Arabidopsis thaliana: one gene and its partners. The protein of the gene in region 2 interacts with the protein of the main gene of each other region in a pairwise test. Each region holds a gene or a part of one and is shown on either strand. Other genes may lie near its edges.

Region 1 (6,563 bases), on a different chromosome or scaffold from region 2:
AGTAAGGAGAGCCAAACATAACCTGCAAAAGAGACAATGAAGAAGGCCAAAGGCATGAGTATAAGAAAGGTCAATATATACGTTTTAAGGTATACATATGATTGGAAATTTCGTTTGATACGCACCAGAAGTATTGAGTTGTAGTATCATCTAGAGCTGATGAGTCGAATGCTTTGGAAGAAAGAATCCATAAAAACACCACATACCAACCCACGAAGAAACCCGTCATAAAAAAGTCCATATCCTTGTTGATTCTGCAAACCAATAAAACCATTATATCTCAATCTAATGCATAAAAAGATAAAAGAAAACACAATTTATATATACCTTGTCTCTCTTAAGTATTCATCTGTAGATTCGGAGCCAACGCTTCGGTTATAAAGCCAAAAACGCCAACATAGGATAGGGAGAGTGGCAATACAGCCACATGTATAACCGATGATCCATATAGACAACATTGTTTGTGGATGTTCTTCATCTCTTGGCTCAATCAGAACGATTATGACCGCAGCAATCAAGACCAAAGTCACAACAAACTCGATTGAATTACAAATGCTTTCATTTGTGTATGGATCACCCAATTCAACACCCTCGTGTGGTTGCTGACCATCAATTGATGAAGAACTACCATCGCTTGTAATGTCAATGATGTGTTCACACTCGCTCAACAAAGGGCCCTCCATTGATCACTTTTGGTTTTTCCTATTTCTTGCCGATCAAATGAAAAGTTCATTCAAATTTGCGTTGACGAGCACAAAGCATATACCTTTCCTTCTTTGTTGATAAAATTATTAGTATTTTTTTAGACCAGATCAATACTAAGTACGTATTAGTCGTGTTACAAATAAAACATTATTTTGAAAAATGAAGATCAAAGCTGAGATTTCAATGTTTATATATATTGCAGATGTTTTGGACAAGTTAAATTGTTAATAGGTCAAATGATCTGTATGATATTTATTTTCTGTTTTAAGACAGACAACACAAGAAGACAGGATCGTATCTTTCAGTTTCCCACCACTTTTGTTTATTGAATGTGTACAATTACTCTTGAGCGAAAAAAAAATAAAAAAAAAATCAACCTCATCTCATCACCACCTAACTTGTGATTGACAGAGAGGGCATGTGGATTTGATTTTCAGCCATTTGTCTATACATTGCGAATGAAATACGTGTGAGCATTCAAGTTTCCTTAGTCCTACTCCTTTTTCCTCTCCATATTTCCCCAAGCATATGCAACAACTCTGCACACACCATCAAACCATGAAAATTAAACAACAACAACAACAAAAAAATGCTATTTAAAACAGAGTAATTAATGTGATATGAAATTATTACTCACATCATCATGGCTCGGTTTCTTGAAAACAAATCTACCTCCTATACCTTCCCTTACAGAATCTACATCATTTGATTTCAACTTATCCACATCATAGATATGAGAAAAAAATGTTCCAAACTCTAGTGAACATTAAGCGAAAAAAATACCTGCGCATAATAGTAATGCATATGCAAATCTAATGCAACTGAAAGCAATGAAGACTACACATAACCTGCCAAAACATAATCAAGAAGACAAAAGTTAGTACTGATTAGTTAGGGTTTAACTAAATCTCTACTGTGACATGATTGTGAGTCAAACCTGTAGAGCTTAGGAGTATCAGAAGAAGATGAGTGTCCATAACAAATCCATAGAATCCCCATAACTAACCACACAACAAAGAAACATTCATTCCCCATCTTCAAAGCATCCATTACCCTATCCGTTCTGCCACCAACAACGGTTCGGTTTGATTTAGCTAATTAAACTCTTAATGTTAAGTGAAACAAGTGTTGTTTATTATACCTCGTTTTTGAGTAAACACCAATTCGGTTGTATTTGCGGACACACGAGAGGAGAATAAGGAGCGTAATGGTAATACAGCCACAAGTGTAACCGATGACCCATGTTAACAAAAGTGCTTGTTGATGTTCATCTTTTGCCAGAGTTAAAACTATTAATGATGCAACAATCTGAACCAAAGTGACTACTAATTCCATTATATTCCAAAGACTACCACAGTCTCTCGTAGATGAACTTGCACCTTCATCTGACGATTCGTCATCCGTAGACAGAGACGAACTTAATGAAGGATAGCTTCTCTCGTCCAAAGACGATCTTGATGAAGAATCTTCATCGTTTGTAATGTCGATTATGTGATCATCATTATCACTGTGGGATTCGCTGTCCATTATCACAAAGTCTTGTTGTGTTATTCATTGGCTAAAGCCAGCCGACAATATATTATACGCAATTCTACATGATCAATCGAAAACTAGAAATTGTGTACAAGGAAATTTGACTAATCTAGCTTATCTATCAACATGTGAACATTCCAAAAATGTACTATTGGAGATACAAAGATATGGAAATATCTATGAAAAATGGAAATATATCCCGTAATTGATATTTTGATCAGTTCTGTTTCTATTTCGTAACAAATAATGACAAAAGTATGGTGTACATGTGTAGATTACGTATGATGTAATGAAAGTATCGGGCACATGTGTGAATAGCAGAAACAAGATATATGACGAAAACGTAGATGCATTTTTTTCTTTGAAATTATGTATGCACTGTGTAGTGTGTTACGTGTAGAAAAAAATGAAATAATATAATAACTTGTCTTAGCCTTGAGTAACACGTGTTCGGTTGTCGAGAAACATAAATATACGTAGATTTTAAAGTGCACTAATATATATTCGACCATGAATATGTTGTTTTATTATTATGTCGTTGATTAAAAGAATGGGATACAGACATAACAAATCACACATAACATGGGATGTCTAATAGAAAGTAACGTGTTTCTGATCCAACGGCTGAGAAAGAAACCCTACTTTGTCGGTAACAAAATCGTGGCCGTCCAGTGTGTCGAACCAACGGATCCATATTATCGACATTTAAACACGAAGCGGCAAAGGAATGAAAAAACATGACATAAAAATTTCGACAAGATCTTCGAATGGGGCCGACAAGATAAATCAATGCTAAACAAGCTTGTCTCAAACGCCATCGTTTATGTTCCCATGAGAACATATAAAGTGGCAACAGAATAAAGTTCAAACACATTAACACCAATACTTTCAATCAAAAACATCAAAGATGGCGAATGAGAGTAATAATCTTGGACTCGAAATCACCGAACTACGGCTAGGTCTTCCCGGAGATATCGTCGTCTCCGGTGAGTCCATCTCCGGGAAGAAGAGGGCTTCTCCGGAAGTAGAGATTGATTTGAAATGTGAACCGGCGAAAAAGAGTCAAGTTGTGGGTTGGCCACCGGTTTGTTCGTACCGGAGAAAGAACAGTCTCGAACGGACCAAAAGTTCGTACGTGAAAGTGAGTGTAGATGGAGCTGCATTTTTAAGGAAGATTGATTTGGAAATGTACAAATGTTACCAAGATCTTGCTTCCGCTCTGCAAATTCTGTTCGGATGCTATATCAATTTTGGTTAGTTTATGTTTCTATATATAGTATATATTTTTGGTTTTAGTCTTTACTTATCAAGGCAACTAATGATCCAAAACATCGATATTAACTTTATAATCTTTATATATGAAAATGAAGATGATACGTTGAAGGAAAGTGAATGTGTACCAATATATGAAGACAAAGATGGAGATTGGATGCTTGCTGGAGATGTTCCTTGGGAGTAAGTTTCTAGCGACCTCTATAACATTCAAATTTACTTTCTTTTATTTAATTGATATCTAATAAATTATGAAACTATTTGTGTGCAGAATGTTCCTTGGATCGTGCAAGAGGTTAAGGATTATGAAGAGATCATGTAACAGAGGATGAATGATATTTATAGTCACATGTGAATGTGAGTGAGCCTTACAGATATCTAAATATACATTTTTGCAGTTACTCAATATTTCTCTTCGGAAGTCTAAGATTTCCGAAATTTCTGTAGAAGTTGTTTTCTTTGACATAGTTCATTCATCTTTATCTTTTGGTCACTGGACTAAAGTCTAGAGGCGGTTCTTATAAGCTACTGCATGACAGTTCAATATCAACAATCAATGAAATTTGAAATATAAATACTTAAACCTACTTCATATCAGAAAACTGATATGAAAATTCCGAATCTGTTTACATTGCCTCAAGATGGGAGAAAAATGTACATTCTCGTTACAATAAAAAAAACTCTAGGTACCGATTAGATGTTCCCGGGTTTGGAAGAACCAAACCACGGATCAAACTAGGCTAAACCGAATTCTAATCAGGTATTAGATGAGTGGGACTGTGGAAATTCTGTTTTATGAACAAAGAGTAACAGATGAATGAAAACGAAATTGGACCATCAATGTGACAAAACTATTATCGGTTAGGAGTTGAAACCTTCAGAATAGCGTGTCAAGTAGCTTTGGAGACGTGAGAACCGCCACAGATTTGTACTGCAAATCCATAATAAGTCTTATGAGAATCAAGGAAACCAAACTAAAGTTATACCAAACAGGTTTTAGTATGTGGTTTTAACTGATAAGCTTACTTTCTCTTGCCTATACTTCATGCGTATAGCGCTCAAGGGGCAACCTTTGGTGTTAAGCTGCAGATCTTGTAAGGCATGAACAGATGCTTTCAGATCCGATGCTTTGTACGTTGTGTAATGCTCAAGTGTTGGATTCTGCCGGGGGAAAAATCAAAAAGATGTTAAAGATCAAAGATTTTGTGGAGCTAAACTGTGTCTGGATATACAAAAGAGAAGCAACATCACAGACCCATGGGTGGTTTGATTGGTCCATTGTCCACTTGGCGAGAAAAACCGCTGAAGCAGCAACAACGGAAGGAAGAAACTTTAAGAAATGGTAGTCTATTAATGTCAACTCTGTTAGATAGCTGGCTAGAAACTCGACTTCAAGGCTTGGGCTCTGCCGAATCAGCAATCAAATATGGACACATTCTCAGTCTTTCTACTAAACTTTGTAATTAGAAGAGATAGGGGAGCAAATTGCGAAATGCATACCAGGCGAGAGGCTTGAGCTGCTCTGAGAAATCTCCTAAGGAACGTTTTTGGAGTGGGAGTGTATATTTGAAAGCTAAAATGCTTAAGTACTTGGTTCTCCATTTCCAGGACCTGCACATCACGACTCCATTAGCACATTGCACACTTTCTTTTTTGAGGATTCAGACAGCAATCTCGGTATACCTGATCTCTTGTGTAGGTGTTATCCGTAATGAAGCAAAACTCCTCAATGCGTGGAGCAGAGATTTCCTCATACTTCCTGAAAAGTTTATAAACAAATGCAGTATAAGTTTAGTTTAGCTTTTGAGAAGAGATTTACTAGTGAGATTGGAGAGGAACATACGAGGCAATTAGCATGCAAGTGATGCCGAGCAGTTGAAGTTGCTGTCTTTGCACGTAGTTTCCATGGAGGAACCAGTCTATGAGATACACTGTGAGGTAGAGAGTGTCAGATGCAAGTGTGTATTCTTCAGAGACCTGTGATTGAAATCAGACTTTTGTGAGAACCCGGAAAAGGTCATAGTAGCTTCAAAAGTTAGCATCAAAAGTAGAACTAAACACTAACCTCCACAAGCCAATCAACCAGAATTCCCCGCATGGACTGGGTGACATCCTTCTGTATTCTCTCCATAAAGTCCGGAAGTGGTCTGCGTTTAAGCTGCCAGAAGAGAAGTGACACAGAAGCACAAGCAATAAAACTTTCAGTCCTTTGGCTCACCAAGTTTCTTTAGAGACTATCAAAGCCTAGGAATTACCTCTGAAACACGCAAATTGTAGTGGATTTCAGGGGCATAGAGGCAGCACAGTAAAGGATCCTTGTCATCTGAATCGATGTCTACAAATTTTGGGATATCCGGTACAGTTGAACTACCAATAACAGCACTTTTCTCAGCTGTAACCATTTGCAAAAAAGATTTATAAGTCATTAAAGACCACTCCTTTATACAATAGGAACTAATCATATGAAAACTTGTGTTAAATGGATCACCTGTAGAAGCTGATCTCCCAAGAGGTCTTGGAGGCAATCTAGAATTCCATATCTCAATACAGTTATCAGCTGTGTTATCTGTGCCTTTAGAAACAGAAAGGTTTCCTGCTGTATTTGATGCAACTTCAACTTTTGCATCGGTCCTGGACTGAAGATCTGTGACTTCTGAAGTAACAGAAGTTGCCAACTGGGATGTACTCGCCAATCCATGACCGCGTCCTTTCTTTATCTGCTTGCTGTTTTTGGCCTGAAATGGCAAAACCCATGTTTCAGTGATGCATGTTTTACTTCACAAGATCTTTACAAAAATTCACAGGAAACCAAACACTATAAAGAAACATAATATAGTTTTAACAACCTCAAGTATAGCTGTATTGGAGTTAACATTTGTGATCTCCCCTAGAACCGCTCGCTTCTTCCTCTTGTTGGGTCCAGTGGCTCTTGTATCCTCCAAGGCTGGTCTTTTTGTGTTTACTCTCTGTTGATTCTGTGTAGTAGAAGTCACTTCTGAAGCGCGCAAAGCAGAGGCAAGGGAACGAGTGAATGGCCGAGACACAGCATTTTC
Region 2 (9,223 bases):
GTGGTTTTCTTAAATGAGATTACAAATATGTGCCACTGTGCTAGGCAACCATGTTGAGGTTCATCTTTTGTAAGAAAAATTTATGATACTAAAACTGTAAAATTTAATGAAAATAAAATAATTTTTCTTAATGTTTTCAGAGTACGATTTACGGCCTCACTAATTGGAAAAAAAGATAGAAATAATACCGGAAGCAAGCATGATAGAGAAGATGATGAAAACCACAAGTGAAAGTGCCTTCTCCATATTTTCTAAGTTTTTCTTTTTTCTTTCTGAAAATTGGTTGAGACAATTAATGATATTTCAATGAAACATTTAAAGGGGTGTATTGGACTTCATATTTTAGAAGTATTAGTGAAATTTAGGATATTTTAGATTGGGGGAGATTTGAGTGAACTTCAAGATATTTGGTTGATTTATTAGTTTTTTTGTTTAATACATTATGGATTAGGTGAGATTTATTAGTAATTTGGGATTTTTCATGTTTAACATATTGTTTTTCAAAAAATATTCCCCTCCAGAAGTGGGATTTTTTTTCATCTCTATTTACAACTAAAAAGGTATCCAAAGACTCCCAAAATCAGTTTCAATATTTGTTTCCCAAAGAATTGTTGTTTTTTGAATAACAAGAGATTTGGTAATATTTTTAATTATTTTAAGCAAATTCTAAATTCAGTAACATAAGATTTTGAAAGACATTTTTGTTTTGTTTTACAGCTTGAAAATTCTTATTTGAATAACAGATTATTTAAGAAAAAAAATCAAAATCCTCCAAATTACTAGGTCCAATACACCTCCCTCAAGGTTTAGAACATTAGAATTCAAACTTCTAACTAATATTTCATTGGAACATTAAGTTGGTCTATATATAATGTACTAATGCCCCAAAATATTCTGGATCTCTAGTGGCATTCCACATTTCCAAGGCACAAATATCTTACTGGGCTATTTATGTTCGAGTTAGATAAAACTTTATGGGCTTCATATGTTCGATCCGTTTCGTATTAAAACCCAATTTTGAAATTAGATAATAGTTTTGCATAATTCCAAATTATGTAGCCAACTATATTAAATATCTTGAGAATACTCGATCAACACTTGTTCCGATTGTTTACTAAAACATTCACCGATCGAATCTGCTGTCATGTTTTAGTCAAAGAACACAAAATGTTTTTCTATTGTACTTGCGTAAATTTAGCACTATGAAATTTATTCACGCGGTGGTTGTAAATCTCGAGATTGGTATTATATTTTGGGTATAGAAAAAAAAAGAGAGAGCTCGATTGTGTAAAAAAAAAATGAAAGTATGGACACGTGGAAAAAGAACGTGAAAGGAAAGACAATGACAGATTTAAGTGTAATTGTGAATATGAAGAGGACACATGCATTGATGTTTCTTCACGTAAAGAAAGGCCTTCGAGTTGGCATTTCCTTGCCTCACGAATCTTTGTCTACCTCGTGCCTCTTTTTAATTCTCTTGTCCTCTTTTTTTTACTTTTTAAATCTATTATTTAAGAAAAATTATTTGTTTATTTTACATAAAAAATAGTATTCAAAGTGCCACAACGTTCGCTACTCTGTCGCTTCTCCTCTTTGACTTTTGTCACACTTGTTTCTGTCGATATCGTCTTAACTCAAGTACTCAACCATGGTTAACAATAGTTTTGTTGCAAAACCCTAAGTATTTTGTCCTAATAATTAACATATATATTATGATCGCCAGTTGATTAACTTGACTACTTTGATTAATTAAATGATTAATCCAAATCAAGACTACCCCATGTATCTCTCATTTTGCTGTTTGTTTTCTCTTATGATCTTGTTGGGATTGTGAATTCTGAACATGTGTGGTTCAAGAGTCAACTTCATACGTAGAGTTGTCACAATCACTTTTGATTAATGTAAACTCCTAAACTTTTGATTTATTCAGATATGCAATTAATTTATGTGTGTATCTATTTTTGTATACAATGTTCATACTCTCTCTTAAGCTACAATAATTGAGTTTTGGTTCAATTTATATTAACTCTAATCATGACATGTAACTGGATTTAAAATATCTCCCTTTCGTCTATTTACACATTTCATGATGTCCATCACTCTCAAGTCATATTCATTTTTGTATTGATGTCTAGAAGCGTCGTCAGATTAGGTCTGAGAGTGGACAAGTCATTTTACAAAAACATTTTTACAAATCTATCATGATTAAGACTTGAGATTGGAACATTATAGGACATTAGGTTGGAACAGAAAAAGTGAGTATGGTTTTATATAAGATTAAAGACTAGAAAGTAAAAAGGGCTAGAACTTTTGGTCTTTTTACATTAAATAAGCAGAGAAAAAGTGAGTTTAGAACTTCATTGACTTTGAGAACCGAGAAGCGAATATAGAGTACTTTCGTTGTACATTTATAATTAGTAGGTTGAAGATGATATGGAATTTTCGTTGTGTATACATTGGAATCTGAAAATCTTTTAAATATATATATAGTTTTGAGTTATAAATGAAAAGTGGGAGATCCAACTTAACTTAGGTGTTGAGGACTTTGTGTTTTGTCAAACATAGGATCCGACCGTTGTTTGTTGTGCATGTGCCTAGAGACATGACCCTCGCATCACCCTAACTAATTGTCTTCCAGATTTTTATTACTTTTCATACCTCTCAACAACTTATTGATCCCAAGAAACAAATAATGAAATATTTAAAGAAAAATCACTTTATATATTACATAATGAATCAAAGTAAGCAATGCAACCATGTTTGAGGCCTATTGGTTTATGCGTGTCATCACTAATTTGTAGACAAATTGAAGTGACTTTGACAAACATATCATAATTTGCCGTCTAGACTTTGGTTCTTATACCCTATTTGATCAATGAAGCTTTTCAAGGGAAGAAGAACCTATTTTATTTGCAAATAGATTGTGAATTGCATTTTGAAACTTACATAATCCAAAAAAGTGGAACTAAAATAAACAAATAAAAGAAAAAAAAAACTTAAAAGATTCAATCGTTGAGTTTTGACTTCCAAGCTCCAACAAAACACTCTGCCAAGTTATACTACAACGCTCTCACTTCCTTGTTCCGTCAGAATTGTCAATCTTCGAGCTGTCTTCAAGAACTCACTGCCAAAGATGAGTCAAAACACCAACAACTATTAGATGTTTTCTTTTACTTCATCATCAAAATAGTACGAAAAATATGACAATCTTGTCTATAATAAAAAAATGTACCTGAAAGGTTCGTTTCCTGCGTATTTGATGGCTCCTGATGCATCCCTATAGAGAACAGAGCTTAACATCTCAGACTTTTTGATTCCAAACATGTCAGAGAGTTTCCGACTCAATTCTTCGTATGAACCAAGAACCGATAGGTCTAAGGTTCGACCTACATCGTCTGACTCCATAAACACTTTACAATGCCCTGTTTCCAAACCTGATGCATCATGAACTTTCTTAGAGCAAGGTGATCCTTCATCTGACGAAGAAAACTCCCTTCCCGCAACGCCGTTTTGGTTCGACCCGCCTGATGAAATCTGCGTTTTCTCTATGTTTGCGGTATCCGTTGAGCCTTTTTCTGATAGCTGTTCCTCGGGTAGTATAAGCTTGCCGAACAATACAATATGGGACTTTTTAGATTTGGTATCATTGCATGGTGTTGTTCCCATTGTCAAAAAGCAAAATCCTTTTTCGTTTTTGGTATCGATGTTTCGGAGACCGAGAGAAGGAGAAAGTTGGAGAGAGGATGGAGGAGGAGGAGGAGGTGGTCTATTCAAGTAGTAATGGTGAAGATCCGAAGATGATAACCCGTAGTACTGATGAGCATTATGCCTGGCTCCCTGTAAACCCACGGGAACATTGTCCAGAACAGAGCTTAACGGGCTTGATCTAATAAGGGGATTGCTTGGGAATGAAGGTACTGGAATCGAATTGATCAGATTGTTGTAATCTGGATGCTGAGGTAGCCGCATCTTTTTCCTCGGTGGCGAAAACGAAGTAAGCGGGATCGGATGTACGTTTGATACCAATTCCACCAACCACGGGTTAACTCGCTTCACGTTTTGGAGTAAATCTGGCTCATCCCACGCCACCTGAAAACACAAAAATGCAACCTATGAGTCTATATTCTAACTTGAGCTAGAAGAAAATTTTGAGTGTTTGTTTACCTGTAGAAGCCGCCAAGGAGAGTTAGGCCAACGGATAGGATCAGAGACATTAACAGCTGAAACAGTCCCCATAAACCAACTTATCCGAGACGAATCCTCTGTCTCAAAAGCCATCTTAAACCTCATACCTGAGCACCACGGAATCCGCATGGCAGCTCGAGCATCTAATGCCTTGACACAAAACTCTGAAGTGCTAGCTCTCGGATAGTACACAACCTCAAACGGTCTTCCGCTAATAGCAAGAGTGGCTGCTTCTATAACAGATTCAGCCGTCACTTTCCCCTTCCTATCCGCAAGGGAACAATTACTTCTCCTCAAACTATTGCTTTCATCTTCCCTTAACAGAGAAGAGTAGCCGCAACTTCCACCGATCGGATTCCAACCCGCTGAATATTCGGGTCCATTACCTATCCCTCCTCTCTTAGCCCTCCTAATACCTACACAAAGATCTCCATTCTCCGCTCTCATGAAGACAATCGAATCTCCCGCCACAAGCTTCTTCTGGTTTACAAAATTACTCCATCCGGTTGTAAGAAGGTGACGCCGAGGCGTCCCTCTATAAATATGTCTGAACTTCCAAACATCACCATGAACATCCTTAGCAAGAATGGTCTGAACCGGCGGCTCGGCGTTATAATCCAACCTCGGGAAAATCGTCTCAGCGCAATAACGAGGAACAGAGAAACCCCCACCGTTATTAGCATCAGACTGAGTCAAAGTCTTAGCAAACGAAGGCGTTTTCTCACTATTACTCTCGAAACCGTTACTATCTTCACCATCACCATACTCGTGATCAACATACTCATCATCTTTCAAAGGAATCAATCTCAGTTTAGCGAAAACCTCGTCAGATTCAGCATCAGCCATATACTTAATGGCTAAAACACGACACAAAACCATGGGAGGAATAGGGAGATTACCGAAATCGACACAATCGTAAGCGTTTTCGGCGTGACCTTGAGGAAAGTAAAAGACTTTAGAGTTCATAGGAGGCATACGAACCATACCACCAGCACATGCATGCCATAGCTGAGGATCTAAACCTTTCTCTGTTCCACCTTTCATTGGATTCATCACATTTATCATATTTTTTGTGACCGTTTTTGCTGCAACAACAAATACAAATGTATCAGCTTTTGTTTGAGAACAGAGTAACCAAACAAAAGCACAATACAAATGCTTTTTATTTAGCAACTCAAGTCCTTTGTATCAGTCAACTTTACCTAACAAACGAAATTTTCCCGGAAAATAAAAATAAATAAAAAGATTCAAGAAAAACCGACAAAAAGGGTCATTTCAGATAGTAAGAAGATTTCAAATACCAAATCTCCGGAGAAAACAAAAAATACAAATTATAAAACTTCAAGAACGTTTTGAGGATATTTAGTTTATTAATCCATTATGAAATTAAAAAGACCACAAATTAAGAAAATTTAGTTAGATTAGATTTTCATAAGAGCAAGCTCACGATTGTGTTGTGTGAAGCAGACAAAGCAAAAAAAACATAGATCGGTCTGAAGTAAGAACAAGAACCACACAAAAGAACAGTAAACTAACAAAGTTAGATAGAACTAGTTAGACATGATGATCAAATCGAATCAAGCTAAACCAAATCAAATTCATATCGAATCGATTGAGAAAACCAAAGATGAAACAGAGAAAGATTAGGAGAGAAAATTTATGTAAAATTAGTTCAAACCTGAAACAGTGGCAGATCTGAACAAAATAGCGAAGATTCTGTGAAAAACCAATCTAGGTATAGAGAGAATCTGAAGATTCTGCAGCTAATTTCTGCTTCAGAATCGGATAAGGAAGGTTACACTTTTTGCACAAAGAAAATGGAAAAAGGGGTTCGTATATATGAAGGAAAGAGCTTTGGCTCTTCTGCAGAAAAACAAAACTAAAAATAAAATAAAAATAATATTATCTCTTTTTTCTCAACTTTCATTAACTCTTTCACATGTCTTTTTTATTATTATTTCTTCTCTAGTTAGTGAATTTTTTAGAAAATATTAATCCGGATTATTTTAAGTGTAATAAATTTTAAGCCTAAAAGAAGGTAACAATTTGGTAAGTCAAACCCTTGATTCCGGGCATAAAAATCGACAATATGGAGTGTGAAAAAAGAAGAGAATTAAAAAAAGAAATATCGACATACGAGTTAAAGAGTTGAATCGCGCACGTGACGGATCCGCACGTGTCGTCGGTGCTTCCGACATATCTCCTTGAAATCTGATTAGAAGCATCTAATTATTTAACAATTCAAGGCAAGCTAATTAACTCAGCCATTAATTGTTCTTTGAATAAACTAATTTTTACAGTTTGATTTGATAATCCCAATAGTTCATTGAATTATTTTTAACTTATTGTTTACGAAACACGATATTTTGTTGATAACCATGTAAGCAATTTGCTGTTGCTAACCATCTTTCTTTGTGTTTAAACGATGTAAAAATAAAATTCTACCTCGGGTTTTTATATTCCCGTTTGATTGGCCCAGACTAGTATTCTAAAATACATTATACAGCTGTATATATATATATATATTGTGTTGTAAATAACTATAGTTCTATTTTATGTTCTATTTGTATAGTATAATTATATGAAATACACAACTGCATATAGACGTATAAAGGCTGTACATGCAGCATATATATGAGGTACACATATTTTTAAAAACAAAAAACATAGTTTCGTGTGTTTTTCTAAATGGTAAGTGAAAGGAAGATTAAAATTATTGGTTTCAAAAAGGAATGAAGGGAGATAAACATCTAACTATTTATGTTAAAATTTACCAAAGTTGAAAAAAAAACTTAGAATTTTTTGCTTTTGATCCCATAGTTTTTTCGTAGGTTGCGAACCAATTCATAGGAAATCAGGAGACTTAGATAATCCTTTTAAAATATAATTTAAGGATCCTAAGAAAACATTTTAGAAAATTTCTCTGATATGACTATACCCTATATATCCAAATAAGATAGAGATACGACATACATATGTCAATCCTACATGATCGTAGCAAGGCTCAATAAATTTCCGCATGTGTCATTGTATTTTTTTGTCGTAAGAGTTAGCTTTCCAATTAATAATACCAAGAGTTTGATCTAGGCCATACGTAAACAAAAATCCAATATCCAATTATATACACAAGTATAAGAACCAAAATTTTCAAGATTGGAATTATGAAACTGAAATTATAATCTGAAATTATTTTAGATAACACTAAAATCTTTTAATATATGGGAATGTGATAATAAGAAAATAATAATTAACAATGATAATGAAAACATATTTAACCGGAGGACATATCACGTGTGAGTAACCATGGTTAAGTTTGAAGTGTGTCTGTGTATGTGTGTTGTTTGGTCAATACCACATACTTTCCTTGTCAATAGTTATTACGTGTGTCTCCATTTATGTTAATCCAGTAATAATTTACATGTCACAAGGGCAAATTCGGTATTTGAATCTTAAACCACCGGATCTGATCTAATTGTCCTCTTATTATTCCTTCAGATTTTGGTTACCACATTTGCATGTAATACTCCTTAGTGGTTACACCTTCTATGTTTATCGATGTTCCTCATGACCACAAGTGTCGTTAATAATGTAATTTAGATTTGGGCTAACTTTTGGAAAAACTTGGGCATGTGAACTCAATCTACTAATAATCATGTTATATTTTTAGGGGTTGGCAAACCACAATTTGGGATTTTGCGAGAACTGGACGAAACAAATTTCTTAAAAAGAAAAAATTATTTATAGACAGCAACGAGACATGACGGAAATGGAAATGCTCGCCAATATTTCTTGCTTGTTTTATTTTTCAATTTATACATTTTAGTTTGTTTGTTCCATTCAATTATTTGGGTTTATGGTTTTTATTTTATTCACATATAATGGATTTGATAAAAAATTTGAAAAATAGTTTGGACAAAAGAAAAAAAACAGAATGATAAAATAAAAGCTAAAAAGAGAAATGAAAGCTAAAAACAAGAAAGAGCGTAAATGAAAAGCGACCTATAAAGGAGAAGACATATAAAGACATGAAATTGGGATCAGACACAAACAGTCGTTATAGACATTGACTCTCTCTTGTCCTTTTCTTTCTCCCATTTTGTCTTCACAAAATAGTTTTTTTTTCCTCTTTTAAAATATAGATAAAGATATTTTAATCTGAAGTTGTATGTTTGTCCGAAAAAAAAAATCTGAAATATTAAGGCTTTTTAGTTTCAACTTGTACCCAACACAATTGGGCTGGGCCTGGTTACATTAACATGGCAAACTAAAATTTCCCAATCACATCTGTATCAATGTGAGAAGATTTACAACTCTTTTCTTTTCTTCTCTTCTCTACTTTATAAAAAACCATAAACTATGAAAACTGAAAAAGATTGTTCTAAGATTTTGTCACTACAGAGAGTCAAGAGAGACCTATAGTTTTGTAGAACACCTCTGCTTCAACTTCTTCAGCCAATAGATATTTAACTATTATAAGTCTCAGAAACCAGAAAGGTATATACAAACCACCTGCAAAAGATATTTCCTCCATTTAAGTAACCATCTTTTAATAGGAACCAAAACGAATGATATATATATCGATTAAGTGAAGTCACAAAAACCTTTTTGATCTCTTCAAGTTATAGTCCTATTGTATCATTGGTGAGGATGTCGGCGTTTGGCTCTGCGGTACCCGGTGGTTGGTTCTTTTTTATGGTTGTGTCTCTTCTTCCCCTTAGGACTGTTAGATGCAATTCTGTAAGTACTTTCTGATGCAACAGATTGAAACTTATAAGTAAAGTTTAGACTATTGTTGAATGATGTTCAAAGCTTACTTGGAGACTGCAGAAAGCAATTTGATGATGAATATAAGAGGGAATCCAATTAAAGCTGTGGCCTGTTGAAAATTTAATAGAAGAAGTGAGTGAGTTCGGATTTGTAGACTCTATAGATGGATAGAATGACCAGATGTTGTTGAAATCACATACCCCAACCCAAGCTAAGTCCATGGTAGCAACCGGTTTGGTGATCTCATTGTTCTTCAGCATTTCTTGAGCCT
Region 3 (7,149 bases), on a different chromosome or scaffold from region 2:
CATGTCTCTCTTCCCTGGCTTCAAGCGCATCAACTTCCTCACTTGTTAGCAGATCCACAACTGGTTCATAAACATCCAAGTCTTTCCTTTTCCTGTCAAGATCATGGACAAAATTTGTTATTTTTGGATTCTGTTATAGCTTTTGCTTGGTCTTGCAAGTCAAATTTGTTCGTGTCCATAAATCTTATTTTTTGAAAAACTCCCATTTAGTGATAAGCAATGCAGGAAGAGAACTTCTTCAATTTCCACAGAGTTTATTTTGTAATCAAACAATTTCCAACCTAGTGATTCGGTTTTCTATGTTCAATAACAACATGTAACATCACCAGAAATTACTATTAGAACAATCTCAGTAGGGACCAGCTCCAAATATTGGGATAATCTACTATCAAATGATATAATGCATGAAGAGGTGGCATTCAAGAGTATGTGTAAGAAAAACGCTCAGGATGTGTCGCAAAGTTAACTTATCTTATAAACGATCTAGCTGCTAGAAGTCAGTCGTCCAACAGATCTTAAGAAGACAATGCAACAGAGAAAATGTATGCATTAAGTGGGTAAGAAAATCACTTACCGAACTACACTGGACTTAAAACTGAATAACTTCATTAAGTCCATTGACAGGCCACTTGCCTTGCTGCACATATAAGATGGAAAGTTATTTTAGAATTTTTTGAGCTAGGCTCTAATATTACCACAAGGTAACTTGGATAGACAAATAGGGGCAACGTGAACATACCTCGCTGAACCATGATCAGATCCTCTGCGGCCTTTCTTGCTTAATCTACTCTCCCTAGCTGAAGCCACACTTTGAATTGCAATCTGGCAAGCAAAAACAACGACATGGTAACTCAGTAAGTTTGGCATTCTTGTTCAAAATAGAAAACATATATAGAGTATACAGAAATACAGAGAGAGTAGCTTAAAGTTACAATCAAAGTTTTAACCTCGTAAAGTTGTTCCCTTATTGCAAAGGCAACAGCAGGCTTCAGAGAGAAGGAGAAACCAAAAATCACTTGTATCAAACGTTTGAAACTTAGGTTCATTAGTTCAGATAATGAAATGTAAAAAATTGAGTGGTTATCTTACTCCAACTTCAGGGTCTTCAACACCTAAATCCTTGCACAAGGTTCTTGCAAATTCCTCAGGATCACTCTCAAAATTGTTTAGGTCCTGCAAAACGGCAATCAAGCTGCACTGAGAAAAAGAGTACAAACAATAGTTGAAATTGTTCAAAATCACCAAGTATTCTCACCCATAAGAACTGATCCTTGATGAGAGTATGGTTAACTCGGAGATCAAGCTGGCACAAAAAAGAAAGAAAGATAGCTTATCAGCTTCTAGAACTTCTTTTTTTCCAACAAATCACTCATGGACAAAAGAGAGAGGGATAAGGATATCTAGCGTCATAAAACCTTAATTGGTATGATTTTTTCACCAGTGTACATGTCTTGTCCTTCATAAGCCCGAAAGTCTGAGAGCTGAGACTGATAAAGCAGGAAGTTGACCAATGTAAGTAGAGATTTCTGAAGAAATTATTCCAATACTTACAAAAACAGAACAGAACATAACTGAAGCAAGAGTACATTCATCACAAAAGCACAGTCTTACAGATATACATCCCAAAGTACAATGCTATAAACAGGCCTCTTCTCGAGTAAAAAAACCTAAAGAGTTAAAAACAATAAGTCGAAAGTGTGATTGGTTTAAGACTAATAGGTGACCTTAAATTTAAGCTCATCTCTATGACAAGCAAAAGAACTAACAACAAAATCAGAGCAGAAGAAAAACTAAAGATAGGTCAGTGTGAACTAGTTTAGAAACAACCTGAATAGATTGGGCAATCTGAGTGACAAATGCATAGGGAAGTTTCAAGTCTTTAACAGTTCTTTTGGCAAAGATAACGACTTCATTATCCGGGTCTGTATCCAAAACCAAAAACAAGAATCAGTGAATCACATACACTGCTACTGTAATAAGATGCGAGAAGATGGAAAACAAAAAAAAAGGTAGGGTTTTTAAGAGAGAAACCTGAAGGGTTCCAAGTGAAAGCATCTTTGTAACGCTGACCTTCGAATTGAATGTCCAATCGAATAGGTACCAAGTTTTCAGCAGTGGGCCTATAGCTCCGATTACAAATCGATTCATCAGAAAAAACAAAAACACATGAACTCGATTTCGATTTCAAAACAAACAAAGTAGAGGAAGCGACGAAACTTACATCCTGAACTTGACGGGACCTTTCCAACCAGTAGACACTAAACCCTTCATCCTTAAACCCCCAAATTTCACAAATTGAGTTTCGAAGAGAGTCAGCGAGAGAGTGTGGGAAATTTCAATTTCTCGATCTTTTTCCGGCGCTAGCTTAATTTATTTCAGAATCACCCTTATATTCTAATGTCTTTACACATTTCACCTCTAATTTGGAATTTTCCCATTTTGGGACGAATTATCTGGATCCGATCCTACGATCAATTGCAGCATTTGGGCTTTAAACGAGCTTGTTAGTCATTTAGTGGGCTTTAAATGGGCTCAACATTAAAATTGTACATTGGTGACAACCAACGAGACGGCTGCCGGCAGATCAAAGAGAATCATTCTCTTCCTGACAACGTTCCTCTATTCCATGTTCGTGCTCCCCATAACAACGTTCGTGTACTTTTTTCCTAGTCATGTAACACATTCGAAGAAACACACGATTACAAACATATAAAAAATCTTTGCATTATTATTATTCAGAACAAAAAAGAGAAGTCTTGGATATTGTGATTTATTTATAAGAAAAAACACACTCAAAGGTGTCATATAAATAAATATATGCATCAATCAATTCTCCAACTTCTTCAAGGCCTTTGTTGCAATATGCAGCAATAGCTCCGTCCCGCCTCAAGTCTCTTCATCAATGCCTAAATCTTACACGTCTCGTAACTGCGCAATCACAGCCTTGACCGATCCAAGTTTTAATACCTCTCCGGTCTCGTGATCTTTAGTCTTCTCACGGTTTCAAGAAACATACTAAACAAAAACATCGATTTCAAAAATTAGAGAATAGCTATAACCGAGGAAATTATACCAATGTAAGATCAAGATATAAGATTCATACTCCCATGGAATATCTCCGACCATCATCCAATCTCCATCCTTGTCTTCATATGTCAAAACATGATGTTTTCGATCTCGATTACCGCCTGTTATAGCCAAGACAATGCATGGATATACTTCAAACTGTTTGAATTTAGTTGAATGTTGTTTTTACGGAATTATGTGTTGTTCATTAATTACTTACAGATGATTGAAGTATCGAACATGTGAGAGAGATTTTCTAATAGACTCTCGTAGCCTGAGAATACGCAAAGGTCGAGTTTTCTTCCAATGGGAACACCTTCCATATAAACCTTAACAAAGAGAGAAGTGTCATCACCACGACGAAGAAGACGACGACCCTTTAGTGTATCTCTTAATCTAGACTTTATCGGTGGCCAATCTTGTCTTGCTTCTCTACAAAAAAATAAAGATTTAAAACACAAATGTGAACAAAAGAAAACAGAGCAAAAACAGAACATAGGAAAAAACAGAGAAGTGATGTGAATAAGACCTTTGTGGAGAAGTAGAAGGAAATGTGAGACTAAGGGAGAGATTAACAGAAGATTCAGAAGGAGAAGGTTTAGTACTGTCGACAGAGGATGAAGAAAATGAAGAACAAGAGTTAGAGACCTCCATTAATGAGACCTTGAAGCTGCAGAGCTAGCTTCATGCTTCCTTCTCTTCTCTATTGAGAGTGCTCTTCATGTCTCTCTCTCTCTATTTCTATTTCTCTCTGTCTAGTTAAACAAAAAAGGACTAGTAGGTGATTCTATTGCATAGATTTTGAATTTAAAAATTGATTTAATCGACTTTGAAATTTAATATAAATAAATAATAGGAACATAAGGTTCCCCACATTTAACTATGAACTTTCAACCTTCTAAATATGAACACACATTGATTTCTGAAAACCACTGTAATAATTACCCGATTAGATACTTAATTCATGGGTTTAGATCTTTGGAGTTAGTTAGTAGTAAAAATGTGAAATTATGGTTTTGAGATTTGTTTACATGTAAGATTCGAAGTTTCCGTAAAAAGGTGGTATCCAAGGAAAGTGTGTCTAAATGATGTTGGAGTTAATCTGTTAAGGCTTTGATTTTAATTTCTCAACTGCTCAGATTCTTTAATTAGGAGAGATAAGGGCCAAAAAAGGCTTTATTGTCTAGCCGTAAACAGAAACAGAGCATCACATCACTTTCACTTTCTTACACATCAATATTTGAAAGAAAAAAACTGAGTCTATAGACTATGAACTTGGGGGATCAATTTTTTAGACCCTTCTGTTGATAAGAAAACTCAATTGTCTCTTATGACACATTAATGTAACAGACCATTGAAAATTGCAGAACCAATAAAAATAAGGTAGACTTGAAGAGTTTTGTGTATATTGTTTTTGTGGAGCAGACAGTGTTCTTTTCTTTAACTATACGTTTCCTGTTAATGTCTCTTTAGCTTTGTGGATTGTCTCTCTTAGAAGCCCAAATCTTTTACTCTTTTTTGAAAATCAAAATAGAATTCGTTGATTTATGATAACTTCAAAATATAAAGTAGACATAAATTGTTACATCACATAATGCTCATTGGCTGTATTGATAATAATATTAGATTCTAGAATCATCATGGGAAGTGCACTCTAATAGTTACTTTGTAATAAAGCCTACCTTGGATGTTGGATCGATAAGACTCCTATTAGCTATTATACGATCTGTCTTTGGACATGCATGTCTGGTCTCTAGGGATCCTTCTTGTTAGAATTTCGATATATATAACTTTATAATGTCTAGTAGTCTAATGATGAATGTTTACTCCTCTTTATACTTATAATAATAATTAAGACTACTATAAGTCTATAATCAATTAAACTTTTATCAAAAAAATATGTCCAAGGAGTTATTACTCGCATACCTCGACTTAAAAGAGTTTTGTCATTAGTTTTCGTTGAAGTAAGTAAGAACCAAAGATAATAATCAAACTCCTGATTTTCTGAAGTTTCTTAAAATGGTATTCAAATTTTGGCCATAACTCTCAATATATTAAGACCGAGCATGCGAACGAGAAAAAATATGATCACCATGGTTTGCAGCTCGATTACTTCTAAGTTCTAACCATGGTAAATTTAAACGTTTTGTTGAAGTAATATAGAGAGGCATGCAATAGTATTGTGCCAAAAAGTTATAGCAAGAGAGATCAATATCATGATATGTACTCCTAAATTAACGTGGCATGTTCATGCATAGACAAAGATGCAATCATATCTCCACGTTTGCATACAGCTTCAAATAATAAAATCATATAGTCATACAAACAAAATGAATGTCCGCTGCTTATGAAAATTAATTATTTGGATAGTACTTCGTATAAAAGTTACATCAAATGATTTTAGTTGATTTTAAGACAAGGGGTCCCTTGAGTGATACACAAACTCATCATGAGTATTCTGATCCATTTCATGACGAATAAATTAAAACACAATCAGAAGGTTGATCATGGGTTGGGAAAGATGTATTGGTCGGTCGATATGCCACATGTTATATTATGTTTTATACTTATTCCTGAATAGAAAGATATGTATGAGTCGAAATATACAAAAGAAGGATGAAACTTGTTCTTCTTTATAACCTTATAAAATGTTCACATTGTTTATGAGTGATTTCCCGCGTCCATTCCATACGACTTCATGATTAACATCCCTCAATATATTGATTATGACAATGTTCGAAAAAACTGTTAGATGCCAGGCAGACGACGATTCAACCGGCCAAGTTTTGTTTCCGCGCGCGCGCATAAGTCCACTATCTAATATGCAACCATTACGGTAGAAGTTTACTTGGTCCATTTTCATTGATAACAACAAAAAATCGTAAAACTTTAAAATTATGATGAAAAACGTAAAAAAGAACATGGGAAAATATATGGCGGAATCACAAAGCATGAAAAAATGCTTCGGAATGATTGACTGAATTTACAATTGGTAGAATTTAATTTTAAGAGATAACATTTAAAAATTCAAAACATTAGTTAGCTGTCTTTATACAAAAGAGTTATTTGTGTACCAAAAAATAGAAAACGAGATATATGACCACATGATGAGTTTATGCATGCCTATTACGCCATGCAAATAGATACACACACACATAGTTGTGCCTCTGACTTTGTCTGCAAGTACGTTTGTATGGTTCTAGACAGTAATTATTGTCCTAAACCCACACGCTCTGTGAATACTCACTAAAGGTTGTTTTCCGTAGAAATCATGAACAAAGACTTTAAAAGCAAAACAGAACAATAAATCAATTAATAAGTTCAACGGGATATAGTGGAAAAGAAAACACAGATACACACCATTGGATTGAAACAGTTGCATTTGTGGTCTTACATAAACCTACGTGTTCTTTTATAAGCCAACCAATACTTTTCTCTTTTTTTTTGTTTGAAACGAGTTGCAGACTTTGAGTGGCCCCAAAGAAGAAAGAAAAGATGCAATTTCCTTTGGTTTGATATTCTCTTCAACCTCTTACCTCTCTATTCTCGTCTTTAGCAAAATCTCAAAAGACAAAAAGATATTGATGTCTCTCCAACGACCCAATGGGAACTCGAGTTCGTCTTCTTCCCACAAGAAGCACAAAACTGGTAGGTGTTGAAAGAAACTTATCTAATATTTAACTTAATTTGGTTTAGAGAAATTGGTTTGTATAATTCTCAGAGGAAAGTGATGAGGAGTTGTTGATGGTTCCTGACATGGAAGCAGCTGGATCAACATGTGTTCTAAGCAGCAGCGCCGACGATGGAGTCAACAATCCGGAGCTTGACCAGACTCAAAATGGAGTCTCTACAGCTAAACGCCGCCGTGGAAGAAACCCTGTTGATAAAGAATATAGAAGCCTCAAGAGGTAATCAATGATGAGTAAAAAAACTTTTTTTTCTTAGCATTCGATTTGTGGAATTGAAATGGTAAAAAAGAAACTGTGGTGAAAAATTACAGATTATTGAGGAACAGAGTATCAGCGCAACAAGCAAGAGAGAGGAAGAAAGTGTATGTGAGTGATTTGGAATCAAGAGCTAATG
Region 4 (7,331 bases), on a different chromosome or scaffold from region 2:
GGAAGAAATTTCAGATCCCTGGAGAGATGGATGAGAAACAGAGACGTATTGAGATTAGGACCATACCAAAGACAATGAGAAATTCAACAGAAATTAAAAGGTATGCACGGGTTCGAACTATGAGGGAGCAAGTGAAGGAAAAGAGGGAACTACAGCAAGGTATGCACGAGGAAGAAGAAGAAGAAGAAGAAGAAGAAGAAGAAGAAGAAGAAGAAGAAGAGTGAAGGAAAAGAGAGAAAAAGGCCATTGGGCCCAGAGGTGAACAAGGCCCAATTAAGGGTGGGTCTTGGTTATTAACAAATTTCTAATTAGATTAAGTACAAGAACTACATAATGGTTGTGTTGTTGTAAGAAAACGATTAAGGAAAGTAAGAAGTAAAAAGAGTTTTCCAACACCTTTTGCTTCTTCATCAAACATTGGATTTTTTTCATGTTATAATCTCAACGATATAAGATTTCAACTGTACATATATACTTTCAAATTTTGATAATATTGTGGCCTCTCGAGGTCGAGTTCATGATCGGGTTATGCATAAACAATTGAACGGTGATTTGTTTGAACGTTGAATAAATATGATACAAATTTAATAAGAAACAAACTAGCAATTAATCGTTATATATATATAATTAAATTGTTGGTAACAGAATTAAACATTTAAACATGTTATTCATCTCATTCAAGACAAATTAAACAAATACATTCAAACGGATAACTTTGATAGTTAACAACTCGATGGAAATTTTACAGACATTGAGAATGTGTGATACATCAACATTATGTATTTTTCTTACAATTTTCGCAGGTAATAGCTCACTAGTTAGTGATTATACACATCAAGCATACATGCTAACGACCTAGATAATCTCGTACGTATACGGACTAAATAGTTAATCTAGAAATTTAGGAGTTACTGCAAAAAAACTAATCCTAGGAGGCAGAGTTTCCAACGGATAAAAAGTCGAAGAATGGAACATGACTTTCATGTTTGGTGTCCGAGTCACTGCGTTTGCTTTGACCTGAATCTTGATCTATAATCTCGCTCTTGTTTGAATCTGTGTTTACTTGTAGAAAATTGTAGAACTCCATAGGCTTTTTACTCTGATTTGCTGCGATCCAAACGATAAAAGAAGGACGAAATTATAAGCTATGTGGATTGCAACTATGTTAAATATATAGAGATGACTTCATGTAATGACGGAAACAATATATGATGATGAGTACAAGAAAAAACATGCAACTAATTTTGTCACATAATTTTGAAGTTCATTAGAAAAATGATTATGCAAATGAAAAAGTCGGCTAAACTCTTTGAAAAGTAAAAAAATTCGGCTAAACTTCATTTCAAAATTTTGGAACATATATACCTTTTTCATCAATAATCCGTGCAAGACTCATATACATGCAAACACATCTATAGAAAATGGATCCTTCTCCATCATTTTGAGTTTACCTTTGTGATTTAAAGCGATCTTTCCGGTGAAAAACTCCTTTAGGAAGTGAAGATGATTGATATGAGAGAATTTGTAAGGGAAATTTATAAAGTCTGCTGGAAATATTTTCTTCCGATCATCGGAACTATAATTATGATTATAACCACCAGAACTCATCATGATTTGTTCACTCGCCATTAAAGAAGAAGACGAAGTCGTCGAGGGAAGAAGACGAGGCTTAGAGGTTTGGCGTGTGCGACGAGCCATGATGACGTGCCAATGGTTCTTGACGGCGTTATCAGTTCTTCCAGGGAAAAGCCTTGCGATGATGGACCATCTGTTCCCATGGATCCGATGAGCCGCTAAAAGTCTTTCTTCTTCTTCTTCCGTGAAAGGGTTTCGGTTGATCCTTGGATCCAATTGATTAAACCATCTCAATCTACAACTCTTACCTGCATATATACACCAATACAATTAATTCATATGTATATATATATCAAAGTATCAAAATTAACCCTAGCTAGTTTTGTATATATGGACAAACCCTAGAAGATATCAATTACCAGAGCGACCAGGAAGCTTGAGAGCAATGGCGTTCCAATTGTGAGGACCGTATTGTTCGACAAGATCCTTGAGCTTCTCGTCTTCAGCTGGTCTCCAATGGCCTCGGCTGCACATGATCATTTTTCTTCTTCACGCCGATCTATTTAATTACGTAATTAACTAAGTATACCGATCCAAACCAATACAAGAACAAAGAAAAAGAAAAACACACAGATTCTATATCAATAACGCACGCAAAAAATTTGTTGTGTTCATGTATTTTATGTACATATATAAGAAATTAAAACCCTAAGTTTTTTTTTTCTTGGGAAAAGGTTGGGGAAGATGGGTATGTGGGAACAAGAAGAAAGCTGAAGAGCACCTGCACGTATATATATACATAGTCTATATTATTGCGAGTATATATATAATATACATTTTATGTCTTCTTCTTTTTTTTCGTCTAATATACATTTTATGTCTTTACCAAAAGAAAATATATATATATATATATATATATACATTTTATATGATGAAAATTAAAATAAAATAAAACAAAATCCGTTAGAGAGTCGGGAGGGTTTGGACGGACCTCTCTACCGGCGACTGATGCCAACGTCTTCCCTAACCAACAAAACACCCCCTTCTACGTAATCTACCTTTTTCTTTCCTTTATTTTACAACTAGGATTTTATTTAGTTATAATAATTATAGAATATATAATATCGTAGAAAATAAGAGCATAGACTAGAGATTGCTTGGTGTGGGCAGGATTTCGTTAGCCTCTCAACGTCTCTTCGTATAGTATTAATTTAAGGTTTGTTGTTTCTAAGTTCTAACCTACACCCGCTACTTCAAGCCACCAATACTCATCTACGTTTCTGTAATCTTGGCAAGCTACGTATTCACATATAATAAATATCGATATCCTACACTGACAAAAATTTATTTCATGTATCAAATATCGTCCATAATAATTAAAGATAAATATTTTCAGACCTAATCAACGTTTTTTCTAAGCCTTAATTAGGAATATATCGTCCAAAGTGGAGACAATACAACTAACTTTTTCTTTGCAATTTTACAATGGGTATTTTCTTATAAACTGTAAATAAAATAGAAGGTGTATACAATTGAATCAAGTGATGAAATATATTAGCAAAAATTTTATTCTCATGTGGTCAATCATTTTAGTCGTAAACAAATAAAAAAGGTGGTCAAATATTTGGTCTCCAAGCACGTCTCTCTTGTCCAAAACGGAACTTTATAGGTTTCGGACATTCAGGACTAAAAACAGAATCAGTTACATTGAATGTTCCGTGGGACTAATTAGAACATTTCTTCAAAAAAAAAAAATCTGTAAGCAAAAACCAAAATAATTGCTGGTAAAGTTTAGTAGGAAAATAAAATAAAACAGAGAGTTAGTTGGGAAAGAAAGCCAATAATCAACTTCATTTGTTCTATCGGTAGTTAGGAGAGAAGCCTTCTTCAGTTTCGACTTTCGAACCTATCATAACTAAACTTAACCTATTTTCGTCGCAAAATGACCTATTTCAACTAAACCGGATCCTGATTACACTAAACCGGTCAAATATTATATACCAGTGGGCTTTTTATTTTACAACTGTATGGGTACTTCATCACCAAAGGCTGACAGACCAACTGTGTCATGTCTTTAGACTTCTTCAGCAAGAGTTCCTGAGACTTGAACCTGTTACCAGAACTGAACGATGAACCGACACTGTTCTAGCATCATAATGTTTCAAGAATCTCACATCAAACTCGAGAATCAGAGAGCAAGAGCAGAAGATAAACCATAATAGTCATGAACCATAAGGAAAACAAGCCTCTCACATTGCTAAGGATCATACAAAGTTCGGCTCTATCTCTATGTATGCAATGGTCAATACAATGACTTTAAACGAACACGTTAAACATATTGTGAGCTGTGAGAGCCTTTTCAAAGAAACCAACATAACCATTAGACAATAGACCTGGATAGGTATCTTTGCTTTCGAAACCATGCTTATTGGTCCAGAATTAGAGAGACTGTGATGGATGAAATTTCACCAGGGATCATAGTCACGAAGAGCTCCTCTCTAGGCAACAGAATCATCGCACCACTGAAAATGGTTCTTTGTTTTAGTATGATGATATGGTCCAACAGTTTTCAGTTCACATTACTTCCCTCTGAGTTTTGTACTCTTTCTCTTCTCACTGAGTGCAAAACGCCTAGCCATACTATGGTTGTAAAACTTTTTCATATGTTCAGAAACCTTATGAATTGCCTTGAGGTTACCAACTTCCGATAGACGCATCAAGAAAGAGTCAAACACTCGATATGGCAGTTTGAGTCCTTTGTTCACAACCTCTTCCAGTAGAAAACACGCCTCTTTAGCTCTGTGACAGTCGAAAAGCCCATTGATCATAGCACAGTATGTTTCAACGTCCTGAACACAGTCTCTTTTATCCATTTCAGTCCATGTATTGAATGCTCCATCAGGATCATCCATTTCGAAAAACATAGATATCAGCATGTTGTATGTTTGGACGCTAGGAGCACAACGCGACTCTACCATTCTTCCATAAAGTTTAAGTGCTTCATCGGTCTTTCTATTCTCACACAATACCCTAAGAAAGCAATTGTATGTGACTATATCAGGCGGGTAACCTTTATTACTCATCTCATCCAGGAACTTGTACGCTTCATCTACCTTTTCAGCCATACACATACCTTCAATTACATCCTTATATGTCGAGACATCAGGAAGGCAACCCGTGCTTATCATACGCCCAATTAGCTCAAAGCATTCTTCTGCCTTATCATTCTTTGCCAACGCCACAATCATTAAAGCAAAAGTCTTTGCGGTTGGAGCAGAAACAGCAGAGCCTTTGGTTATCATAAAGTCAAACAAATCAGCTGCCTCATCCACCATTCCAGCTTGACAGAAAGTATCAATAGCAGCACAATAAGTGAAATTTTCCGGCTTATGTCCAGCTTCAATCATCTCTTCAAGCAGCTTCATTGCCTTTTTAGGGTCTCTCACCCTACACCACCCAAAGAACAAGACATTAAACGTATTCGCATCAGGTTTAACTCTATGCCTCATCCTTCTAAGCAAAGCTTCACCCTCCTTAACCAAACCACACTTACACAGAGCATCAAGAAGCATATTGAAAGCATTAATCTCAGGCTGCGTCTTCACTCTAATCCGTTTCCTCTTGGCAAATTTCTGAACATGAGTCAAGTACCTCTCACAATACTTCCTGAGAATCTCCAATAGAACATCAACAAGAACAACGGTTTTGTTGTTTCTCTTCATGTAATCAAGCATATCAATCACAATCCTAAACTGCTTATTCTTATACTTAGTACTTGACAATATATCAATCATCTCATTATAAGCAATAGGCTCATGTGAGTAATGTTCTTGATGTCCAGCCCAAGTGAAGAACCGAAAAGCCGTCTTTTCTTCGTATTGAAGCCTTTGTAAGATCTTACACACCACAGGAGTTGTTAAATCTACACTAGATTCATCAAGGGCTTTTTCCATATCATCATACGCATTCAAATTCGCCATTATAGCTTCGTGTAAGATTCCAACCGCATGATTAGAACCCTTTGTTCTAATATCATTTTCATTGCAATAAACCAATGATTGATCTTCGGAAACTTTCTCTATACGGGTAATTTCTAGTTCTGGGTTTAACAAAGTCGTGGAACAGAATCGATGCACAGAGAAAGATGAGATTTTTTTGTTGATTTGAATAGAATCTAGATGAGAACTCAATATATGAGAGAAAAGTGCGGACCTTTGAGGTGGTGTTGTGGATAGATGCAAGGAGAATCTAGAACGAACAAAGTAAGAGACGAGTCTTCGCATCATTCAGTAATCAATCACTCGGAAATAAATTCGTTGAGAGGTTTAAAGCGAAGGAGACTGAGAGGAACTAGAGGAAGGGGACGACATAGAGAAGAGAGAGAGAGAGAGAGAGAAATTGGAAGATTTTAAATGGGCTTTTCTTTTGTTGAGGCCTTTTCATTTTTAATGGGCTTTCTTCATTTAACAACGAAAACTATTTTGTTTGGTTTGAATTACACACTACTTCAAGTCTTAAACAAAAGGGAATCAAATTTCCAATTTCTTTTACATCAAGGTCTAGACTCTAGATATCAAATATCAAATTCTATAAAAAAAAAAAAAAGAGAAAACCAAAAAAATATCAATTTAAAACCAAACCAAGCCATAAATCAAAATTTCTACTCCTAGTTTATCATAGAGCCACAAATAAATAATATACATATACATCTCTTTACATAAGAGCATCTGCATCGGGAAGATTCTCTTCCTAGTTTCTCAAAAAAAAAAAAAAATATTATTTTAATTATATAATATATTTTATTTAAATTGTAATAGTTAAACTAATATTTGATTGACATGTGGCGATTCTGTCAGAAAAACGATTCTCTTAGTTTCTCAAGTGAGGTACTCTTCTCCCTCTCTATCCTACTTTTTCACTTTTTTGTTCTTATTTTATTATTAAGTTTCTCATTCAGAAATACTGATGGAGATGGCCTAAAACAACTAATATATATGTAGTTTTTTATATCGAATGAGAATTATCCTGTTACATTATACTAAACAAATATTTACAGATTCTATACACAAAACATTATTAGATACTCTAGATTTTGCCGATTGTAAAAATTTAATAGTCTAATCAATGGTATGTATATAACGATGTAATTAATTTGCAAGTAGCAGAGAAGAAGCAATACTACTTTTGGCATATAGCAACAAGTTATGGTTTTTCTTTTTTCGTTTCAAATTATTGGTCAAGTGACAAGTGGCCGTTAGCGTAGTTATGACTTTTGAGACTCTCGTTGTGAATCATTGCATTTTCTATGGTTTTGGTTTTAATGCATTTCTCATTATTTTTTCACAATTTTTTTCAGAAACCAAATTAAAAGGAGGGATACAATTGGGGGATTGGTTTTTAAGTAGATTGTATGCACATTCACTCTTCAATCTCCGAGCGAATTAAGGAGAATCATAATAATAAAATCAGAACATAGAAAAAGAATCCAAACCAATAAATTAGAAAACTTAAAACTTAACTTAGAGAATTCAAAATGTAAAGAAATATCACAATTTCTTTGTTCTTGTTCCCAAATTAAAGTACCGTTCCTACAATTTTTATTTTTATTTTTTTATCACATGATATCTTAATATATAGTTGGATATACATAGGATCGATATTGGACAACCAAATAAAAACAATGACCATGATTAAGTTTGAAATTTACTTACGACTGCAATTAACATGGCAGATATAATGGATTTCTTCCTAACTAT

What was found.
Region 1: the proteins of ARF16 (region 2) and IAA5 interact in binary tests that used the Arabidopsis thaliana proteins (3 or more experiments, as listed by UniProt).
Region 3: the proteins of ARF16 (region 2) and IAA31 interact in binary tests that used the Arabidopsis thaliana proteins (3 or more experiments, as listed by UniProt).
Region 4: the proteins of ARF16 (region 2) and MYB54 interact in binary tests that used the Arabidopsis thaliana proteins (3 or more experiments, as listed by UniProt).

What each region holds. Positions count from the first base shown.
Region 1 is NC_003070.9:5,363,043-5,369,605, reverse strand, and holds IAA5 (indole-3-acetic acid inducible 5), read left to right. Parts: upstream 1-3,108; 5' UTR 3,109-3,145; coding exon 3,146-3,491; intron 3,492-3,608; coding exon 3,609-3,693; intron 3,694-3,781; coding exon 3,782-3,842; 3' UTR 3,843-4,094; downstream 4,095-6,563. Other genes in the region: AT1G15600 (uncharacterized protein), read right to left, coding at 1-22, 126-254, 328-683; AT1G15590 (E3 ubiquitin-protein ligase), read right to left, coding at 1,374-1,401, 1,643-1,768, 1,847-2,232; CYCA2;3 (CYCLIN A2;3), read right to left, coding at 4,388-4,441, 4,537-4,671, 4,766-4,915, 5,011-5,121, 5,194-5,269, 5,354-5,487, 5,576-5,668, 5,766-5,902 and 2 more. UniProt on the Arabidopsis thaliana protein: Aux/IAA proteins are short-lived transcriptional factors that function as repressors of early auxin response genes at low auxin concentrations.
Region 2 is NC_003075.7:14,700,315-14,709,537, forward strand, and holds ARF16 (auxin response factor 16), read right to left. Parts: upstream 6,041-9,223; 5' UTR 5,864-6,040; intron 5,271-5,863; 5' UTR 5,251-5,270; coding exon 4,165-5,250; intron 4,090-4,164; coding exon 3,233-4,089; intron 3,125-3,232; coding exon 3,055-3,124; 3' UTR 2,751-3,054; downstream 1-2,750. Other genes in the region: LCR19 (low-molecular-weight cysteine-rich 19), read right to left, coding at 189-246; AT4G30090 (golgin family A protein), read right to left, coding at 8,821-8,905, 9,000-9,061, 9,153-9,221. UniProt on the Arabidopsis thaliana protein: Auxin response factors (ARFs) are transcriptional factors that bind specifically to the DNA sequence 5'-TGTCTC-3' found in the auxin-responsive promoter elements (AuxREs). Could act as transcriptional activator or repressor.
Region 3 is NC_003074.8:6,017,321-6,024,469, forward strand, and holds IAA31 (indole-3-acetic acid inducible 31), read right to left. Parts: upstream 3,828-7,149; 5' UTR 3,721-3,827; coding exon 3,596-3,720; intron 3,499-3,595; coding exon 3,287-3,498; intron 3,189-3,286; coding exon 3,104-3,188; intron 3,016-3,103; coding exon 2,961-3,015; 3' UTR 2,653-2,960; downstream 1-2,652. Other genes in the region: BSH (transcription regulatory protein SNF5, putative (BSH)), read right to left, coding at 1-92, 575-637, 740-822, 948-986, 1,090-1,173, 1,256-1,303, 1,416-1,487, 1,828-1,922 and 2 more; HYH (HY5-homolog), read left to right, coding at 6,651-6,714, 6,788-6,974, 7,067-7,149. UniProt on the Arabidopsis thaliana protein: Aux/IAA proteins are short-lived transcriptional factors that function as repressors of early auxin response genes at low auxin concentrations.
Region 4 is NC_003070.9:27,596,636-27,603,966, reverse strand, and holds MYB54 (myb domain protein 54), read right to left. Parts: upstream 2,375-7,331; 5' UTR 2,116-2,374; coding exon 1,995-2,115; intron 1,884-1,994; coding exon 1,452-1,883; coding exon of another isoform or gene 1,393-1,451; exon of another isoform or gene 1,108-1,392; coding exon 929-1,107; 3' UTR 650-928; downstream 1-649. Other genes in the region: AT1G73400 (Pentatricopeptide repeat (PPR) superfamily protein), read right to left, coding at 4,155-5,861. UniProt on the Arabidopsis thaliana protein: Transcription factor that regulates secondary cell wall (SCW) biosynthesis, especially in interfascicular and xylary fibers.